5 linked regions of the Canis lupus familiaris genome follow. The protein of the gene in region 1 interacts with the protein of each later gene in a pairwise test. Links are inferred from orthologs where the notes say so. Each region holds a gene or a part of one and is shown on either strand. Other genes may lie near its edges.

What was found.
Region 2: the proteins of PRKAR1A (region 1) and AKAP1 interact in a two-hybrid assay, tested with the Homo sapiens proteins (2 studies listed by BioGRID and IntAct). The link is inferred for Canis lupus familiaris from reciprocal best matches to the Homo sapiens genes PRKAR1A and AKAP1.
Region 3: the proteins of PRKAR1A (region 1) and C37H2orf88 interact in binary tests that used the Homo sapiens proteins (3 or more experiments, as listed by UniProt). The two-hybrid records come from large-scale screens. The link is inferred for Canis lupus familiaris from reciprocal best matches to the Homo sapiens genes PRKAR1A and AKAP19.
Region 4: the proteins of PRKAR1A (region 1) and AKAP10 interact in a two-hybrid assay, tested with the Homo sapiens proteins (3 studies listed by BioGRID and IntAct). The link is inferred for Canis lupus familiaris from reciprocal best matches to the Homo sapiens genes PRKAR1A and AKAP10.
Region 5: the proteins of PRKAR1A (region 1) and PLEKHF2 interact in binary tests that used the Homo sapiens proteins (3 or more experiments, as listed by UniProt). The two-hybrid records come from large-scale screens. The link is inferred for Canis lupus familiaris from reciprocal best matches to the Homo sapiens genes PRKAR1A and PLEKHF2.

What each region holds. Positions count from the first base shown.
Region 1 is NC_049230.1:11,742,565-11,746,574, forward strand, and holds the start of PRKAR1A (cAMP-dependent protein kinase type I-alpha regulatory subunit), read right to left. Parts: upstream 2,813-4,010; 5' UTR 2,662-2,812; intron 2,402-2,661; exon of another isoform or gene 2,243-2,401; intron 1,373-2,242; exon of another isoform or gene 1,214-1,372; intron 1-1,213. UniProt on the Homo sapiens protein: Regulatory subunit of the cAMP-dependent protein kinases involved in cAMP signaling in cells.
Region 2 is NC_049230.1:31,842,932-31,847,106, reverse strand, and holds the start of AKAP1 (A-kinase anchor protein 1, mitochondrial), read right to left. Parts: upstream 2,810-4,175; 5' UTR 2,622-2,809; intron 1,334-2,621; exon of another isoform or gene 1,314-1,333; 5' UTR 1,244-1,313; intron 804-1,243; 5' UTR 696-803; coding exon 552-695; intron 1-551.
Region 3 is NC_049258.1:690,307-694,274, reverse strand, and holds the start of C37H2orf88 (small membrane A-kinase anchor protein), read right to left. Parts: upstream 2,814-3,968; 5' UTR 2,768-2,813; intron 2,554-2,767; exon of another isoform or gene 2,538-2,553; intron 2,022-2,537; 5' UTR 1,985-2,021; intron 1,646-1,984; 5' UTR 1,444-1,645; intron 1-1,443.
Region 4 is NC_049226.1:40,468,081-40,472,123, reverse strand, and holds the start of AKAP10 (A-kinase anchor protein 10, mitochondrial), read right to left. Parts: upstream 2,801-4,043; 5' UTR 2,625-2,800; coding exon 2,537-2,624; intron 1-2,536. UniProt on the Homo sapiens protein: Differentially targeted protein that binds to type I and II regulatory subunits of protein kinase A and anchors them to the mitochondria or the plasma membrane.
Region 5 is NC_049250.1:40,390,014-40,393,004, forward strand, and holds part of PLEKHF2 (pleckstrin homology domain-containing family F member 2), read right to left. Parts: intron 153-2,991; 5' UTR 139-152; coding exon 1-138. UniProt on the Homo sapiens protein: May play a role in early endosome fusion upstream of RAB5, hence regulating receptor trafficking and fluid-phase transport. Enhances cellular sensitivity to TNF-induced apoptosis.

The sequences.
Region 1 (4,010 bases):
TTCAGCCCTAAATAACAGCACACACTAACAGAACACGCCAGTCAGAGAAAAAAATTCTGCAGGGAAAAAAACAAAAAAAACCACCTTACCAATTAAATCAAAAAAGATTTGGACAAGTAAATGTCAAACACTCTCTTTGGCCGGACAGGAAAAAAATGCTAGAACAGGTTAAATTTTAAACTTACATGAAGATTCAAGAGATAAAACTGCATTAAATGAACCTGAGAGGATTCCAACTACCTTGATATAAAGTAAAATAAGTAGAAATATTAGAGTGAGCAGCTGACTTTACCTAGGAATTAAAAGCTTAATAATTTAACGACAGTCATAAATTATTTTCCTCCTGACTTCTAATTATTAAGCAATTAAGATAAGAAAATAAAAGTGAGGCCCTCTCTCTCCCCAACTGGATTCAATACAAATCAGTTTTTTTTTTCCCAAATAAAATGCACACAAAATCAGAGATGAAACTGTAAGTTTGGAAGAAAAAAAGATACCAAAATCAAGAGCCAAATGCTACACTGTTAGTCATTTTGTTTTGACAACTTTCATGACAAAGGTCAACATCAAGCAGACTAACAGACCATGAGAAAGTTTGTCGCTCCCTGACAAGCACATAAATTAAAAGCCACAGGAAAAAAAAAAAAAAAAAAAGAATCTTGCTACTGCTACTTCAGAAATATACATTCAAAAAATGGGGGGAGGGGTAGTTTGCTTTGGATTTATACCAGGCACTTTGGCAGGTCAGACAATCCCATGAACCGATAATCCACTTCGGCAGAATTTTCTGCATGTAAAATAATACGAAAGGCCACCAAGAATAATGATAAAATCAGATCCTTTATGCTTCAAAATACTCGGTGATATTTCACGAATATCATCAATACATGTACTCCACTGGTCAAAGAAATCAAAGATCAGATCTTTGGCTGGTAGAAATGAAAAAACCGGGTCTAAGAAGTGAAACGGGCTTCCTGTCTCAAACACTATCAGAAAGCACACACCAGTGCTGTCGAAGCAGCACACTAACAAGGACCCTCCAAGACTAACGTCATCACTGAACCCCCTCAAACCCAAACCTAAGTCTTCATGCCTTTAATGGGGTAGACCAAGGTTAACTCCCTACCTGTCCTTAAAACTAGAGAGCCCGACAGTTTGGCTTCTCCCTCCCCGCCCCCCTCCCGCCCCCCCAGCCCAAAAATTATTCACCTACTTTGAAACTTTTCACTGCACTCCTAGCGACCCATCAGAAAACACTCAAGATTCTTTCTTTTTTGGAAACTCAACTGCCATAACGAAATTCCGTTTCGCGAGGCTCGCTCGCGGGGAGGTAACAGAACGCGCTGCCGGGAAACCTGCTGATTCAGACCGCAGCCCCCGAGACCCGCGGGGAACACCTCCTCTGGGTCCTCTCCGCCGGGGAGTCGCCGGGCGTCACACCTGCGCTGCGCCGCGCTGCGGGGGCTAACGGGGACCACGTACTCCCTTTCTGTCGAGAGGAAGGGCAGGAGCGTGCCCTTCACTTGGCTCGCGCCGCCGTGACGGCTACAAAATGAAGAAGGGAGGCCTGTCCTTCCTTCATCCTCCTCTGGTCGGGAGGCCACAAGGGTGGTGAATTGCAGGGGAACCGGGGAACCAGGGGGGCGGGGAGGGGATCGGGAAAGGCTAGGTGAAAAGGGGGACAAAAACGGAATTTAGAAGCCGGGCCAGAATCCCGCTGGGAGTGGGGGGGGGGGGGGGGGGGGGGGCGGGGTGGGCTCCCAGGGAGGAGAGGAAGCCCCCGCTGGAGATGACAAGGAGACACTAGAAAGGGGAAAACGCCGACTGCCGAGTCTCCAGATCAGCCCGAAACGCAGGGGCAAACGACTGGCGGATTCCAGTAAAATCGAGCCGCTGTCCTTCAGGAAACGGGGGAGGGCGAGCGAGGCGGCCGCGGCGCGCGGGTGCGGAGGCGGCGGAGGCGGCGGGGGCGCGACGGCCGCGGGGGGCGGGGGGCCGGGGGCCGCGGCGGCCGCTGAGCTCCGCGCCGGAGCAGCTCGGGGCCGGGGCCGGGGCCGGGGGCGCGGCTCGCGGCGCGAGGCCCGCGGGGAGGCGTCCGCCGAGGCCCGGGAGGGGCAGGGGGTGCGGCCGTCCCCCTGCAGGTCGCTCCCCGTGACGCCATCTTGGATCGGTCCAGCGCCCCCACACGGGCGGCGGGGCGGCGAGGCGGGGCGCGCCGGGGCTCCCAGCCGACCCCACTCACCTGGGGACGGGCGGCGGCGGACGCGGGGCGGCGGGTGCGAGGCTGCGGCTAGCTGAGCTCTCCCGGCGCTCCCCTCCTGGCCCGGCTCTACTCCGCGATAGCGGCTCCGCGGCGGCTCCACCGGAAACGACCCGGCCGCGGCCAATCAGCGCGCGGCTGCTGACGTCAATGCGCCTCGCTCTGGCCAGAGCCGTCGCCTTGGCAACCTTAAAGGCGCTGCGGCCCGGCTTCCCCTCCCGCCTCTCCTAGAAGGACCCTCGCCCCTCCGCGCCCTAGAATCGTTCTCCTGCTCTCCTTTCCGCCTCACCTGGTCCCTCACTGGCAGCCCTGCCGTCTCGCCCGCCTCTCATCCTTTCCGCAGCTCTCCAGCCCGGCGCTCCCGTCCTTCCGTCCACCTGCACCCCCCGCCCGCCCCTTACCTGTCTGCTCTACCTGGATGCCGCAGGTCCCCCTGCCTCCTCCTCCTGCTCTTTCCCCGGCTCTCGGCGCGGCTCTCGGGAGCTCCCCTCTCTCCTCGGCCCCTCGCCTCCTCTCCTCCCTCGCCGCCTCTGCCTTTTCTCCCTCCCTTTTCTACCCCACCCCCCCCCGCGGCCGGGCGGACCCACGTGGGGCGTCTCGGATGACAGGTGGGCGACTCCGCCCCGTGGCCCCCGCCGGGGGAGGCCGCGGGCCCGGGGCGGGGAGACTCCTGCGGCTTCCAGGCCCCGGAGGAGGCGGCGGCCGCGGCGGATCTGCGGCAGCTGTGCGGCGGCCGAGCGCGGGCGGGTGCCCAGGATGCGCACTCCCGGCCGCGCATCCTGTGCCCCGCCGTCTCCGCGCGGGCCTCCGGGCTGGGCCCGCCATCCGGCGCAGGAAATCCGAGCCCTGCCAAGTGTGTGCCCCGCTGCTCGGGCCGCGCTCCCCTCCGGGGTCCAGCCCCGCGGGCCCGAGCCTCTGGGGGGACTGGCCGGGGTGCTTCTAGAACCTGCAGTGCCTGACCCGGCCCGGTGACATGCACAGAGCCCGCCCGCACGGCAAATCTCAGCTGCCTGCAAAAAGCACTCATCGAGGATGAATCGGATTCCAGGCGGGGAGAAAAGGAGGCTCCTTTACTGCTCCGGCCTTTTTTTTTTTTTTTTTTTCTCCCAATCGGGGTATTTGTCCGTAGAGGAAGAAAGGGGGAGCAGGTGACCGGTTTAGCCTATAAGGTCGCGAAATCAATAAAGTAGGCCCTCGGAGGACACGCGGTAGATGGCTCTAGGGCTGTATGTGCAAAATACAGGGGATTTAAATGATAATCTTTCGGTAATAGTAGGTTAAATATTATTAAAATGAATTTCATCTTTGCCTTTTTCTTTTTACTTATTTCTCCGTGTGTGTGAGTGGTTTTTTGTTTTGTTTTGTTTTGTTTTGTTTTTTTGCCTTTTAAATACAGGTATTAGAAAAATGTTCGTTTGCTATACAGCCTATGTTACATTTCTGTGGGACAGCACTGCCCTAAGCAGCCATCTGCTCCCCTAAATCCACCAGGCTGATAAGGGCCCTGCTCATCAGAATATTTCTTTTATTCAGTTATGGTTACTCCCGCTTTCAGAAAGTCAGAGGCAGCATAGGCACCATCAGAAAGGGCGGATTAGGCCTACAGGAGTGAAATGTAGAAGGGAGTTTCCTCCTACCCCCTGCCCCCACTTGGTGACCACTGGCCTTTGGCCAGGATGGGTGGAATGGGGGATTAAACACAGAGCTTCAGTCATATAGGATTTCACCCCCGTGGGCACAAAGAAGGCCT
Region 2 (4,175 bases), about 20 Mb from region 1:
CCGCTGCGCCACCCAGGGATCCCAGGAAACAAGTTTCTATACCATTTCTGAGCCAGATGTCTCCTGCTTTGTGGCACCAGGGCCCCCTAGGACGTGTTTATTAACATGGCTACCCTGAGGCCACGTCACCCAACCAAAAGAATACTGTATGCTGCACCTAGGTCCCCAGTGCCCACCACTCTCACTCGGCCTACAGCTTAGGAGCCAGGAGACAGTATCCCTGCTCCTCCAGGGAAACTGCTTTTCTCTATGAGGACCTACAGGTACAAGAACTGCCCAACTGAAGTGCTCCCCCAATCTGAGAAAAGAGGTGTAAGGATCCCCAGACAGGAGAAGGCGTGCTTTGTTTTCTTCCTTGCTACCTAGGGCCTGTGATTAGAGGTATTAGCCATCTCCACCAAAAACAGAGCCAAGAGCCCATATGATCAGCAGCTGCCCCCCACAAAGGAGTCCCGCTGCCTGGAGGTGCCTCTCAGGGAGCGCCAGGTGACCAAGCAGTCCCTCACTTCCTTAGCCCTTAACTTCCAAGGGTCTTACCCAGCCAATCTCACCTCAGTTAAAAGACTTCTGGTGAATTGATAAGGTGCCATGTGCCCCACTTTACATGGTCTGATAGGCCTAGACAGGGGCTGTGAGAGGCACCAACCTTTCCTGAATTCACAGACAGGGCCGCCTTCACCTGTGCATATACACATAGGCCCACATGTGCAGGTGTGCACACTTCAGCCTTATTAAGCTCTCTGCTACCTTCCTTCTCTGGAACAGACTCCTGAATTGCTCTCTTTGCCCTGGTTTTTGGTTTTCTGTAAAAAAAAAAAAAAAAAAACTGAACTTCTCCAGATCTGAGTGGCATTTAACACCATAGGTCTAAAAGCCTCACACTCACAAGCTAATTGAAGGCAGCCACCTCCCCCAGGGCCTCCCCCCTCCTGAGGCCCCAGACACTCAGGCAAGCCAGAGAAAAGCCTTGGAGAAGGATACAGCACCCTGCCTGAGGGTTGGTGGGGAGGAGACATGGCTATTTTGAATCTGTTGGAATTAAATAGCTGCCTGCTTATTTTTAGCAGGTCCATTTGCCCGGGAATAGATGCACGCTGGCTGGTTGCCCAGTGGTCACACAGAGCTGAAGGCAGGCACGTGCCGTGGCCCCACAAGGCCTTGAGGTTTACCTGCTCTGTCTGAGTTCTAAAAGGATTCCTTTCCTTTCTCCCAGAGGAACCTGCAGCTTCTCAGAAAAGCTTACCTCTGGAGAAGTAATGGCCTCACTCCCAGCACCGATGACCAGCCCAGTTACTGCAGTCTAGAGCCTTCTGCTAAACAAGAAAACAAATTTCTGGGAACAGTACAAACAGTGTTGGTCCCAGTGACTAAGCCCATTTGGCTGCAATTATTGTGGGAAAAAAGAGCTGCATGTAATTAATTGATGGGAAAGTTGATCATAAAAACAAGCACTTAGTAGCCAAGTGGCCATCAAGTCCACTGCGGACTTAGGCCTGGTCAGTGAAGTCACATCCACTCAGCATTCTGAATGGACTTTTCTATACCACCCCATCCCCACACCCCACACTCCTGGCAAGTTGAAATTTGAACATTTCCAATATTCCAGGGTTATGTGTTCACATTCCCAAAGACTGGCCCCTGGTGTTCAAGACACTCCATCTCTAGAATGCCCAGGACGTCAAGTTGTTCAGGGGCTTTTCCCCCTGAAGGGGGTCTTCAAAGGACAGGAACAGCTAACATGATCCAAGACCTGAAGCCCAGTATTTCCTACCACTGCATTCAGAGAACAGCAGGCTATGGGCCAGGTCAAGGTCCCCCCTCCCTTCTTCCATCCCATCCCCTCAACCCGCCCCACCAGTCTACTGAAGGAAGACCACAGAGGTCTGTGCAAGACCACAGAAGGGCCTCTTAGTTTCATAGGATGCTTTTACCTGATTCCTCATCAGGTTGAGGTTACGCACATACGTTCACTCACGTAATAATTCACACATAAATACGCTTAAGTTGCTGCAAGAAAAAGATTCTGTCCACCAGAAGCTCACAATGTGTACTGAATAATCTGTGTGTCTCTCACACACAGACCTGCACCAAACTGAGCCCAATATCAGAAGTAGGCAACAGAATCCAACTGCCTCAAAGGCACCAAGAATTTGCTCAGGTTGCAATGGTGGGTTAAAGACGTAAATTAAGGTTCTAAACCCAAGATGCCTTTGCGGGTGGAAGGGAGCAGCAAGTCCCAGACCAGAACAAGTCCTGGGAGTGAAGCTGAAGAGCTGGTAGGAGGCCAGATAAAAGGAGTTTGACCTTTACTGTCAAGGCAATGGGAACAAGTGGCAGCAACTGAAACATAGCCAAAGCAGAGCAGGTCACAAGAGGTAAAGGCCAGGGTGATCTCCAAGTGGCGACTACAGTCCAATATTGGCAACTACTTAGTCACAGGGGGCTAACTTGAAATGTGACCAGTGAAACTGAGAAACTGAATTTATATTTTATTTAATATTAATTGAAATAGCTACATAATGCTAGTGGCTACCTAAAGGATAGTATAGTCCTAGAGGGCCTTCCCAGCAGACCAGAAACAAACATAAGACCTAGATAAATGCTGTACAGCCAATGCCTACCTTGTTGGGTGGTATCTGGTGCTGCCACTGAGGGTGGGGGATGGTGGTAAGCTGGGCAATTCACCCTCAGCATGGCTGGGGCCCAGGAATCAGAGTGCTGGAGCCATGCCTCAGGGACGTTGGTCTCAGCCCAGCCCTGATGTTCAAACAGTTGTTACCTTCATCCATAGGGGGCCTGTGTGGGCTGTGACTCATGTTGGCACCCTAAAGATTCCAAATTAGCTCACAATGGGGCTGTGAAGTCCTCCCCATACTGTCCCCACATCCTTCATTGTGATGGCCCCACAGAGCAGCCAGGTGAGGCACCGTGGCCAGCCCATCCCCACTCCCGGTTAGGTAGATCAGCTGTCCAAAAGTCATAGAACGCTTCCCAGGCTCTTCTCCAGGAGACTGAGGGCTTAACCCAGTACCATCAGGGTGTGAGTACCTGCTCGGTGAAGTCTTCTCCAGGCAAAATGGAGACCCAGAGTCCAATCCCAGGAGCTCCAGGTAAGAAGAACCAGAAACAAAAAATCCCATCTCTGGACATGGTCTCAAATTAAGAATTGTTTCTCCTCTAATTCAATTACAAATTAAACTTCCAGTTTGGAAAACTTGGTAAAAAAGAGAACCCCCCACACAAAGGTGAAATGCCCAGTCTCCCTTGTTCTGCTGACCAAACACTGGGCAGGTCCAGTCTCATTAAGTTATAAAGAACAAGGCTGGGGGGGGCGGGGTGAGGGGTGGGAATCAGCATTTTCTACAAAGGTCTTCCCATTGCTTCAGTTAGGGAGTAGGAATGAGGTTTTCAAAAACCTTAATAAAAACCATGTCACATCCATCCCCAGCTCTTGGCAACCACATTGTTTTACCAGTAAATTCTGACAAATCTCTGAGGATAGTGATAAAGCAGGTACCAGGGAAGTGTTTCTAGGTACACAGAGTTTCCATCCATGACCACAGAACACTACTCATGACTGCCCAAAAGATAGGAAGTTGTGCTCTGTCAAAAAGCTTACCCAAAAAAGCTAATAAAGGTGACACATGCCTTCAGGAGAAATTAGAAGATGGTGTGAGGCAAGCAGCCCTTCACACCATCACCTCAGGTGGGCAGATCAACAGGTGAGATGCTGATTTTCCAAATGGCAGATGGTAGAATATGACCAACCCAAAAGTCACATAAAGGCCTAATGTCATTCCTATCCAACAAATACTTATGGACACCTATAGGGTACAAAGCACAGCAGGACACAGAAATGAATCAGAACGTACTTTCGAGGCACTTTCAAGTCTCACAATTTCTTTTTTTTTTTTTAAGATTTTATTCATTTATTCATGAGAGACAGACAGACAGAGAGAGAGAGGCAGAGACACAGGCAGAGGGAGAAGCAGGCTCCATGCAGGGAGCTCAATGTGGGACTCAATCCTGGAACTGCAGGATCTCACCCTGAGCCGAAGGCCGATGCCCACACTGAGCCACCCATGTGTCCCAATCAGTTTCTTTTTTTGGGGGGAAAAAAAAAACAATGACCTTCCTCAATGGGCTGTTGGTGCCACCCTTAGCCACTGACCAAG
Region 3 (3,968 bases), on another chromosome or scaffold:
AGCGGGGTCGGTCGTGTTCCCGCCCCGAGGGCCCTTTGTCCTTTTTCTGGTCGAGGTGTAGCGAGCGCAGGCCCCCCGGTGCCGGGCGAGGAGGCAGCGGCTGCTCCCAGGCTGGGCCCCGCCACGTGGCCCTTGCCCTCCCCGACACAGCTGTCGCTATTATTTTTTAAAGATTTCATGTATTTATGCGTGAGAGACACAGAGAGAGACGCGGGGACCCAGGCGGAGGGAGCAGCAGGCTCCTCGCGGGGAGCCCCACGGGGGACTCGAACCCAGGACCCGGGGTCACGGCCTGGGCCGGAGGCCGCGCTCACCCCGAGCCCCCGGCGCCCCATCAGGGACCCGGCAGGGTCCCTTTGCTCAAAGTCCCTGCTCGTCGCGTTTAAAAGGGACCTGAAGGTCCTTCACGTGGTCTCGGCGCTCGGGTCCGGGTCCTGTCCGAGGCCTTCCCCCCGCCCCCGGGCTGGCGGGCACCCCCCGCCCTGGGCACTGCCCCCCCCCCGCCCCGCCTCTGCCCGGGCCTGCTCCCCCCATCCCCAGGTAGGATGGTCTGCAGGGGGAGGGCGGGGGGGGGGAGCGGCCTGCAGGGAGGAGGGGGGAGGAGGGGTCTGCAGAGGGGAAGGGGAAGAGGGGACGGGGGGGGGGGCGGCCTGCGGGGGAGGGCTGGGGGGAGTGGCCTGCAGGGGGGCGGGGGAGGGAGTGCGGCCTGCAGGGGGGCGGGGGGTGGGGCTGCAGGGGCCATGCACGGGGTGGGTTGGGGGGAACCTGCTGCCGGGGAAGCTGCCCTGGGCCGGGGGGTCAGGCGGGGGTCAGGGGGGTCGGGCCGTGGGAAGTGCGGGGCTGTGCGGCCCTGGGCCCCCTTGGCCTCCCGGGCCTTGGAGCAGCTGCTCGTCCCCCCCCCCCCCGAAGGCCCCTCCCTGGGGCGCGACCCCGGGGCTCAGAGCCGCCACTTCCCGGGTCCCCGAGCCGCTGGCCGCGGAGCCTGGCCCAAGCCCTGGCGCAGGGGGCGCTGCCTGCATCGGCGCCGGCGCGGGCTCTCCGGGAGGACAGCCGACCGCTCAAAGGTCCTGGGGCACCGAAGGGGGCACGGGGGGCTCAGCGGCGGAGGCGGCCTTGGCCCAGGCCGTGACCCGGGCCCCAGGATCGAGCCCCGCATCGGGCTCCCTGCGAGGAGCCTGCTTCCCCCTCGGCCTGGGTCTCGGCCTCTCTCTCTCTCCTCTCTGCAACTATCCTGAATGGATAAATAAAATCTTTAAAAAGGAAAAAAAGTCATTAAAAAAAAAAATCCGGAAGCCCCGGACTGCAGACACGAATATTCCATTATGGTCAAACATCTGTGCAGCTATATTTAACCAGGGACAAAACTAGCCATATTCGGCTTGTTGCCTCAATCACTAAAAAGCAGAATGTTTAGTATTAAGGGTCCCCTGCCGAGGGCCGTACCTTGAAGCCGGAATCCAAATAACCCGAGACAGGTGTGTCCACAAGCGTGCAGCCCCGGACCCCGGGCTCGGGAAGGTGGCCGGCTCCCAGGCCCTCGCCTCTCGCAGTCGCCAGGCAGCCCTGGACTAGCTCACAAGTGCACTTCTCACCCAGTGATCAGTATTGCGATGACACACAAGCCACCTCCCCGGTTTTCCTGCTCCTGTTTCGTTAAAGGCAAGAGACTCGGGTCAACGTTACTGAGGCCGCTACACGGTGCCAGCGTACTTCCCGGGCAGAGAGGATCAGACCGTTGTTTTCTAGGTCTAGGAGTATTTAGGAGAGTCTGAGAGCTACAGATTCCACTTGTTCTTAATTCCTTGGAGGCCGGTGTAAACGTTGTCCAGGGAGCAGCATGATGCATGATGGATCTGAGACTCACTGTCTTTCAAGTTTTTATATTGATTTACAAAAAAAAAAAAAAAAAAAAAAAAGAAAAAAGAAAAAAGAAAAGAAAAGAAAAAAAAAACCCAATACTGCAATTCATTTAACTTAAACTTACTTTAAAAATATTTAGCAGATTCCGAGGATTTGAAAACCTATAAGGCAAACAAAGACATCATAAACCTAGAACCTAGAACTCCAAGGTTTTACTGTTTGTGTTGATGGTAGTAAGGTGGTCAGTAATGCAAAAAATAAAAGGTAGGAGTAGGGTCAGCCCTTTTCCCAAACGAAGCTCTTTCTGCTACATGTGCCCAGTCATTCACTGGACGGGTTTCCACCAACTGGACTCCACGCATCCAAAAACACACATATCTTTTCCTCCAAGCAGCCATGCTACTAATAACCTCATTTTTGTTAAAAGTGACCTCACATTCCCAGTCCTTTAGACTTAAAATCCTGGAGCTATGATGGCCTCCTCCCCTAGATTTTCTCCGTGTCTAATAACCAGATCTTGTTTCTTATTTCTTCTGTTCTGTCTCCCGCCGAGCCATCCTATTAATGTTTCCGTGCATCACTTTATTCTATTTGCCAGTCCATTCTCTCTCTCTCCCTCCCTCCCTCCCTCCCTCCCTCCCATTTTTCAGTCTGAAATTAGGAAGATCCACTCTTACCCCCTCACCACCTAATAAGGTGGCTCCAGTCACCCCGTGCCCTCTTCCCAATTCCTGGCACCAGCCGGCTTGGCTCCCTGCTTCCCTCTGCTCCTCTCTAAATATTCATTCCTGCCTCTAAACCTGGTTCATCTGAACTGCCCTTAATGCTTTTCGTGTCTAATCATCCCCTAAAACTCTTCTAAGTTCCTGCTTCCTGCCTGGAGCTCTCCCCTCTTCCTCAGACTTACACCATAGAAAGCCGCTGCTATAGCATCTCTCAGGAACATGTCAGCTGGCATCCCCGTATGTTCTAGAATGTAGTCAGTCAAGAACCCTAAGTCATAATGAGCCCTGATACTCGTACAGGCCTTACTCTGCACTGAACCCAACCTAAATACCTGCGTGTGTTGCGTTCGGTCACCCACAGAACCTCGAGCACTACATGTGCTCACGAGCCCTATTTTCCCAGCGAGGAGTCAGGGCACAGGAGCTAAATAACTTGCCCGAGGTCGCACAGTAGAGGCAGTGTTGGGACTCAAACTCAGACACACCAGTTCCAGAATTCACGATCTTAGCCACTAATCCTTAAAATAGGCTCCTTTCTGGGGTCCCCAGGGGCTCAGCAGCTGAGTGCCTGCCTTTAGCCCAGGCTGTGACCCTGGGGTCCCGGGATCGAGTCCCACGTCGGGCTCCCTGCAGGGAGCCTGCTTCTCCCTCTGCCTGTGTCTCTGCCTCTCTCTGTGTCTCTCATGAATAAATAAATAAAATTTAAAAAGAAAAAAAAGGTTTCTTCTAGTTTTAAATTTCCTGCACATTTAACTGAAGAGAACCAAGAAGGGGAGAGATTCAGTAACCAACTCAAAGTTACAGGAAGCGACCTTTCTCGGTGGTAGGCCGTGACCGCCCCCCCCCCCCCCCCCCCCCCCCCCCCCCCCCCCCCCGAGCAGGCCCCTGAGTGATGCGCGAGAGCTGCCCGGTGACAGGGACCTCGTGGGAATGTCTACTGTGCAAACAAAACAAAGAGCCCGCGTTGGGATCTGTGTCTGTCGCCTGCTCCTCTGCACCCCGGAGTGAAACCTGAGTCCTGCGGTGGCGGTGGGGTCGCTGAGCAGGGCACTGGCTGGCTAGGAGGCCGCCCAGGGACCCTGCCTTAACCGCCGAGCGCTGCAAGGGCAGCTGCCGGGGCTTTGCATGGTTCGGACCCGCCGAGGATGCCAGCGCCTGTCCAACCCCGGGGAGCTCGCTAAGTGTTGGGAGAGAGTAAGTCTTTCAAGACCAGTGTGGGTTAGCACGGCAGGCACTTGCGGAAGCAGTAACAAGCCTCCCGAGTCTTTCGTGTTTGTCCTTAAAATAAAATATATATAGAGAGAGACACATCATGACCAAAAAATATAATTCATGTCAGGAATATATGTGTGTGCACGTACCTACATGTATACATTTAAAAAT
Region 4 (4,043 bases), on another chromosome or scaffold:
CAACACAGGGCTCAATCTCACGACCCTGAAATCATGACCTGACTGAAATCAAGAGTCCGATTCTCAACCAACTGAGCCCTACTTACTCTACTTTCATAAAACAAGCTTCCTCTTAACATTTAAGCTGAGATTTGAATGACATCCTCTTAGAGGACTTCATTAACCGCCCAATCTAAACAGAGATGATCATCTAGACTAGGGAGTTAACGGTCAGGGATAGTGAGAAAAGACCAAATTTGATTACATTCTGGGGTAGACTTAGCAGATTTGCTGATGTAGATATAGGGTAGGAGAAAACGAGAGGTTCAAGAACGTACTAAAAAAAACCTGGAGTTAAATTTTAGGCTAACAGATGGATCTTTCGCTTACTATATCTATTATTTCTATTAATAGATATATCTATTAGGTAGAGGTATGAAATGGACCAACAGTTAGATATACCACTCCTAATTCAGGGGAGAGAATTCAAGCTGGAGATGTAAATTCAGGAGTCATCAGCGTATAGGTGGTATTTAAAAATGGTATTTAAAGACTGGATGGAATCCCTAAACAGAAGCATCTCCAGCTTCTACTCTTGCCACATTCAGTCTGCAAAAAGCTTCTACAATGATCTTTTTATAACACAAGATCAAATCATTCCTCTTTAAAAAATTTTAAGGGGTGCCTGGGTGGCTCAGTGGGTTAAGCGTCTGACTCTTTATTTCAGTTCAGGTCATGATCTCGGGGTCAAGAGACAGAGCCCCGCAGCATCTCCATGCTGAGTGTGCAGCATGCTTAAGATTCTCTCCATCTCCCTCCTCACTCATGCTCTCTTAAACAAACAAACAAACAAACAAATTATAGTGTCTCTGTATTTGGAATAAAACCTAACTATGGCCTACAAAGCTTCGAATCTTGTCTACCTCTCCAAGCCCAAAGCACATTGGCCTTCCTTTCTTTCTTGAAGGGCATCAAACTCTTTCTTGACTTACAACCTTTGAACATGCTACTCCCTGTTCCTAGAATACTCTTCCCTAACCTCTATTACCTTCTACTGATCCCTCAGCTTTAAGTTTCAAGGTCACCTGCTGAGGTCTTTCTCTAACATCAAATCAAAATATGCTTCTCCTCTCAGGTTATCTCTGTCATAACAGGTTATCAATCTGTAAATACACACAGGTACAGAAAGAAAGATTTACTGTCCGCCTGTCCCAGCAGACAATAAGCTCCATAGGTAAAGGGACATTGCCTTGTTCAGTGCTTAACAACGAGGGCCTAACACAGTGCCTGCCAAACACCAGGCATTCAAAAGTATTTGTTGAACAGAGACAACAGTCTATTATGCAACATGCAATTTGCCTCATTATACACAGAATGCTTCTTTCCTCCTTAAAAAAAAAAAAAAAAAAAAAAAAGACCAAAACAACCTATTACAACACTGTCAAACAAATTAAGAGCTATTAAATTAACTATACCCAGGTACCTTATCAACAAAGCTTCCTGTACCATTTTAAAGGTTTCCTTCACTCAGCAGTGCTTTCATTCATTCATCACAGTTTTATTCACTCACCCCATGACATCAATTACTAAAACTCACTATGTACTTAAAATGAATTCTTGAATTCATATCTGAATGGGGCCTTTAGGAATCATCTCATTCTCAGCTGAGAGAGAAGGAAAAAGTGGGTTAACACTTTTCTGTTCCAAGCGACCGTCACTAGCAGAGGAGTCATGTGAACCTAAGTCCCTGATTTATTTAGTGGGCTGCATTTTTTGTGTGTGTTTGTTTGGTACATTTTTTTCTCCAATAACAAGAATTCAAAGAACCACTATCATCCAAAAAGACCTACGCTCGTTCATTTTGGATACATATTTTTAATGAAACACAACCACCTCCTTATCCAGGATCAAAATTAAGCTGCCTCTACTCAAAAACTGGCAGCTATCCACAATTGAAAATCAGAAATATAAGTAGTTTACAAAGTGAGCTGTCCCAATAGTTAGTAGACTTGCTAAGTCATCAAAAGAGTCTTCTTCACTAGGGAACTTTTAGCAATAAGTAATGTTATTTTAGGAACTGCAGGATCCTCCTCTCCACCACCCCACCCCCAAAGAAGGGGAAACCAGAAAATGGCACTAGTTGAAGAAAACAGCTTTTTCACATGTTGCTTTTAGACATAAAAACCCTCAATATTCTGAAAAAGTCAGAGACTTCCGTAACACGGTACTAAAGGAATTTCCTTCTTTTTGATCTACAGTTGAGACACACAAGCACACAAACGCGAGAGCGGTTTTTACGCAAACAGGCATTAACTTGTACGGGCTCCGGCAAACACTTTCGGACCAGACCAGCGAGACAATTCCCCTCTGACCTCGCGCGAGGAGGCCGCCTTCTCCCTCCCTGCAGAGTCCGGGAGCAAAGCAAGGCACGCACGGGGCGTCTGTGCGGAGGCCGAGGGCCTCGCCGCCCCCCGGGGAGAAAGCCCGTGCAGGCCCACCGGCCCCACCGCCGCCCCTGAGGCCCGGCCTGGCTCCCCGCCGGAGCCCCCTCTGCTACCTTTCCGCCGGAAGAAGGACATGGCGGGGCCCGGGTCGGGGCGGAGGGCGCGGGGGGACTGTCGCGGGGAGGGCCCGGCTCCCCTCATTCAGCAACCGGCCCGGACTTCCGGGTCCGCAGCGGCCGCCGCACTAGCCTGAAAGGAGACCCTTCTTCCGGGTGTGGGCCCCACCGCCTCCTCGGGAAGCCCAGGCAGCGCCTGCCGCCATATTATCAACAAGCCGCCCGCCCGGAGTTCCGGTCCTTCCCCGCGCGAGGCTTCACGGGAGGCCGCGCCGCCAGCCCCGCCGGCCCCGCCCCCCAGCCCCGCCTCCTCTCGTGGGTGCGGGGGCACGCGCCCGGCCCGCCCACGTGACCCTGCGCGCCCGCGGCCTGTGCCCTTTCCCCGGCGCCGGGGACCTCTAGCCTGCGGTGGTGCCCCCGCGGTGGAGCGGTGCGGGCACGGCCCCCGCAAAACGGGTCCTCCCCGAGCCGCAGCCCCCCCGCGCCCCGCACCTCCGACCCCGGAGCGGGATGGCGCGGTGTTCGGGCCCGGGGCGCGCGGCCGTGGCACTCAGGGCATGCCCTTGGACAAGGCGAGGGCCGCGCTGCCTCGCTCCAGCTCAGCCCCTCCTGCTTCTCTGTCCAGTTGGGCTGAAAGGCGCTGACCCGCCAGAGGGGCTTCACCCTGCACCGCCAGGCCCAGGCGAGCAGACCACCTCCACCGCGCCTCCGGGTCGCGGGGGTACCGGGAGGTCACCGCTCCTCCAAGGGGGGAGAGGAGGCATAACCTGCTTTCTGCGGCTCCCCACGCACTCCCAATCACAATGACCTCGGCGATAAAAAAGGAGAAGTGGGCTTGTTTTCAGAACCAAATCCCTGCGAATGCTCAGGTTTGAAAGGCACAGTAACACAAGCATCCCCAGGAATTTACAAGGCAAACTCCTGAATATCCTTCAAGCTTTGTTCAAATGTCTTTTTCCAGTGAATCTTCAGGCCCTCCATTCATGACTAATGCAGAGTGAAACAAGTCTTTCCCCCAACTCAGTGTCCCTTACCACCGGTTAAGTGTGCTGATTGGGTAATAATTGTAGCCTTGTGGGTGCTCCTGTGGGGAAGGAGTCTGAAAGATAAATGTTCACCGAGGTTTTGTTTTTTTTTTAAGACTCCATTCATTCATTCATTCATTCATTCATTCATTCATGAGAGAGCAGAGACATGGGCAGAGGGAGAAGTAGGCTCCCTGCAGGGAGCCCCATATGGGACTCCATCTCAGGCCCCCAGGATCACCACCAGAGCCAAAAGCAGACATTCAACCACTAAGCTATCCAGGTGCCTCCTGAGTTGTTTGTTTTTTAATTCCTGAGTCTATCATGTGACAGTTCGGGAAACAGGACCAAAAAGAAGTCCAACTTGTCCAAGATTATGATGTGTCAGTGTTGAGACTATTAACTACAACCCAGGATCTTTTCACTGTATAATTAGAGCAACTTAATAGGGTTCTCTGGTCCTGGGCCCATAACGTAGT
Region 5 (2,991 bases), on another chromosome or scaffold:
GCACAACTTAGTCAATACTCCTTCTCCAATAAGAACCCTTCCAGGTATAGTTAAGGGTTGACCAGCTGCTCCAAAACAGTTTTCTACTATATTTATACGTCTAGTATTTGCTTCACTGTTTGCCAAGCGATCCACCATCTTTTGCTGATAGCCTTTAAAAAAGAAAGAAAGAAAGAAAGAAATTAGCACATAAAAGTTATGAATTCATGTAAGTTAAAAATTATATAACCTAAATTTAATCTAACAAATCTTTACTTTTACTCAAAGGCAAATGCTCCCAAATGGTTACCAAGATAATCACCAAGCGTACCAAAAGGGTTAACATGTCCTGCTTTTATAATCATCAAAAATCTTACTAGTCCAAAAATCCATATAGCACTATACTAGTTAAGTAGATATTAATAAAAGCATAAACTTCTTACAGACATAAAGGAATAAACAACTGGACAACGAATATAAGTCTTTTCTGCAAAATAATAATCTCAGTTCCATGAAATTTAATCTCAGAGGGATTCTGAAGAAGAGGGCAAAATTCTGTAAAAACTAAGAGAAATTAAGAATTTTTTCTGGTAAGCTATTCCCAATGAGCTAAAGCCTTAATCCTCTCACCTGGATTACCAGAACTATTTGCCAATGTGTCTTTGGTCTTGCCCCCTAAATCAGTCTTCAGGCAGTGATTTCTCAAATGCAAATCTCACCATGTCATTATTCAAAAGAACTCTCCTTGACCTACAAAATGCAGATTTTCAAGCATGGCACACTAGGCTGTTCGTTATCTGGTTCTTGCTTACCTTCCCAGACTCATCAAGTCACTCTTCAGCTCAAACTTTATGTTCTAAGAAAACTCTACTCCTCACAGTCCACTTCATCTACACATGCCTTCTCTCATGCTGTCGTATCCTTTACTACTTGATACTCACAGTTAACTCTTATTGATCCTTTAGGACTCAGTTTAGGTTATCGACTAACTCACTTCCAGTTGAGTGTATCAAAGCCAGGAGTCTCCTTTAAACATATTTATTTACTTATTAAAGATTTTGTTTATTCATGAGAGACACAGAGAGAGGCAGAGACACAGGCAGAGGGAGAAGCAGGCTCCCTGCGCGGAGCCCGATGTGGGACTCGATCCCAGGACCCTGGGGTCACGCCCTGAGCCGAAGGCAGATGCTCAACCACTGAGCCCCCCAGGTGACCCTCTTTTAAATTCATTTAGACTAAACACCTTCCTCTGTGCTCTTCACATTCCATATACCTTCTGGCTTCATTCTTACCAAAGGATTGAAATCTGTCTCCTTTAAAGGCTGCAATGGAACCTACAAGATAGACCATCTGCAATCTACCTTTGAAACTGACCCTCCCCCCCCCCCCCCCCGCCGGCACAGCAAAGGTGTTCAAAATTGTTGACAACGTTTTGGCATTGTGTAAAAAACTCCTATGAATCTACTCTTAAATGGTCACAGATTTAATCATTAGATTCAACAGTGACTTCATTCAAGTCCTTGAGTTGTGTCCTATTTCAGACCTACTAACCTAATACTACCACAACTAAGTCATATTAAAGAGAAGAGGAACATTTAAAGTCTAACAGCATAGTCTAAATTCCAGTATTCAACTCACAAACTGATGATACTGTACCCTTTTCTGGCCTCCACTATAAAGATTCTGATTATTCCTGAATTTGTCTCCTCTAATCATGGGTCCTTATAAAGCCCCTTTGCTCCCCACAAGGGTAGGCTCTATCCTGAAAGCTGTTCCCAAGAAATTATATGATAATACAGGGCTCCAAACTATGACTCTTTTTCTAATTACACCAAACATGCCAGCCAATTAAAGGTTTACTGTCCTACACACTGTGCATCATGGAAGAAGAAATAAAAACAGTCCATAAACACAAAAAGAGGCTCAATCCCACTCATAACCCAAGAAATGATAATATGACATTAGGATATTTTTTTCACTTACGAGATTAACAAAAGTTTTTAAAATTTCCTCAGGCGCAGTACTACTGAGGATACAGGGAAATGGTGCCCTTATACACTACGGAAGATACGGGTACTCACTGATCTAGGTGTTTTATCAAAAGAAATTCCAGTTGAGTGTATGAAGACGTGCACAAGGATGTCCAACACAGCACGGTTTACAACACACACACACACACACACAAAACTGGAAAAGCTCCAAATGTCTACCATGAGGAACTGGTTGGACAATTTATGATAACCCATAATATGCTAGATACCTGGGAATAATGAGATAGATCTAAATATAGTGATATGGGAAAATGGTCAAGATATTTAGGCGTGGAAAGAGTGGAACATCATAATCTCATTTGTTTCAAATATATATCGCATTTCATCAAATCTAAGATGCTACAGACCTTAAGACACATCTTCATTTTATGTGCCACTGGAAATGAGAAAGGCTGCTAGTTACCTCACGGCATACCTCTGATTATATGACATCTCAATTTCAGAGACATAAAATATACTAAACCATGTTCATCTTTAGATTCAATGAAATATAGTATAAACGCGTAATCACAGACACTTGTGAACAAACACGTAAGCATACACACAGAAAATAAAATTAAAAAAGTATATACCATGGTGTCAACAACTGTTATTTACCTTTGAGAAGTACAATCATGGATAATTTTTCACACTTTACGCTATCTTTAAACATCCAACAAGTATTCACTCTGTTAGGCACTGATCTAAGTGCAGGGAAAAAATATACAACATGAGCAAGGTCCCTGTTCCTCAAGTTTTACACCCTAGTTGGTCAGGAGTGAAACAGAAAACAAAATTGAGAACCAAATAGTAAGTCAATGTTACGATTTTTAAAAATGATTTACAAAAACTAGCTGGGAAGCTATTCAGACTGGATGGTCAGGGGAGGCTTTTCTAGAGCGGAACTGTTCAGCGGGTAAGTGGGGACTACACATACGGACAGGTGTGGGGACAGAGAAGGGTACTTCAAGCAAAAGGAGTA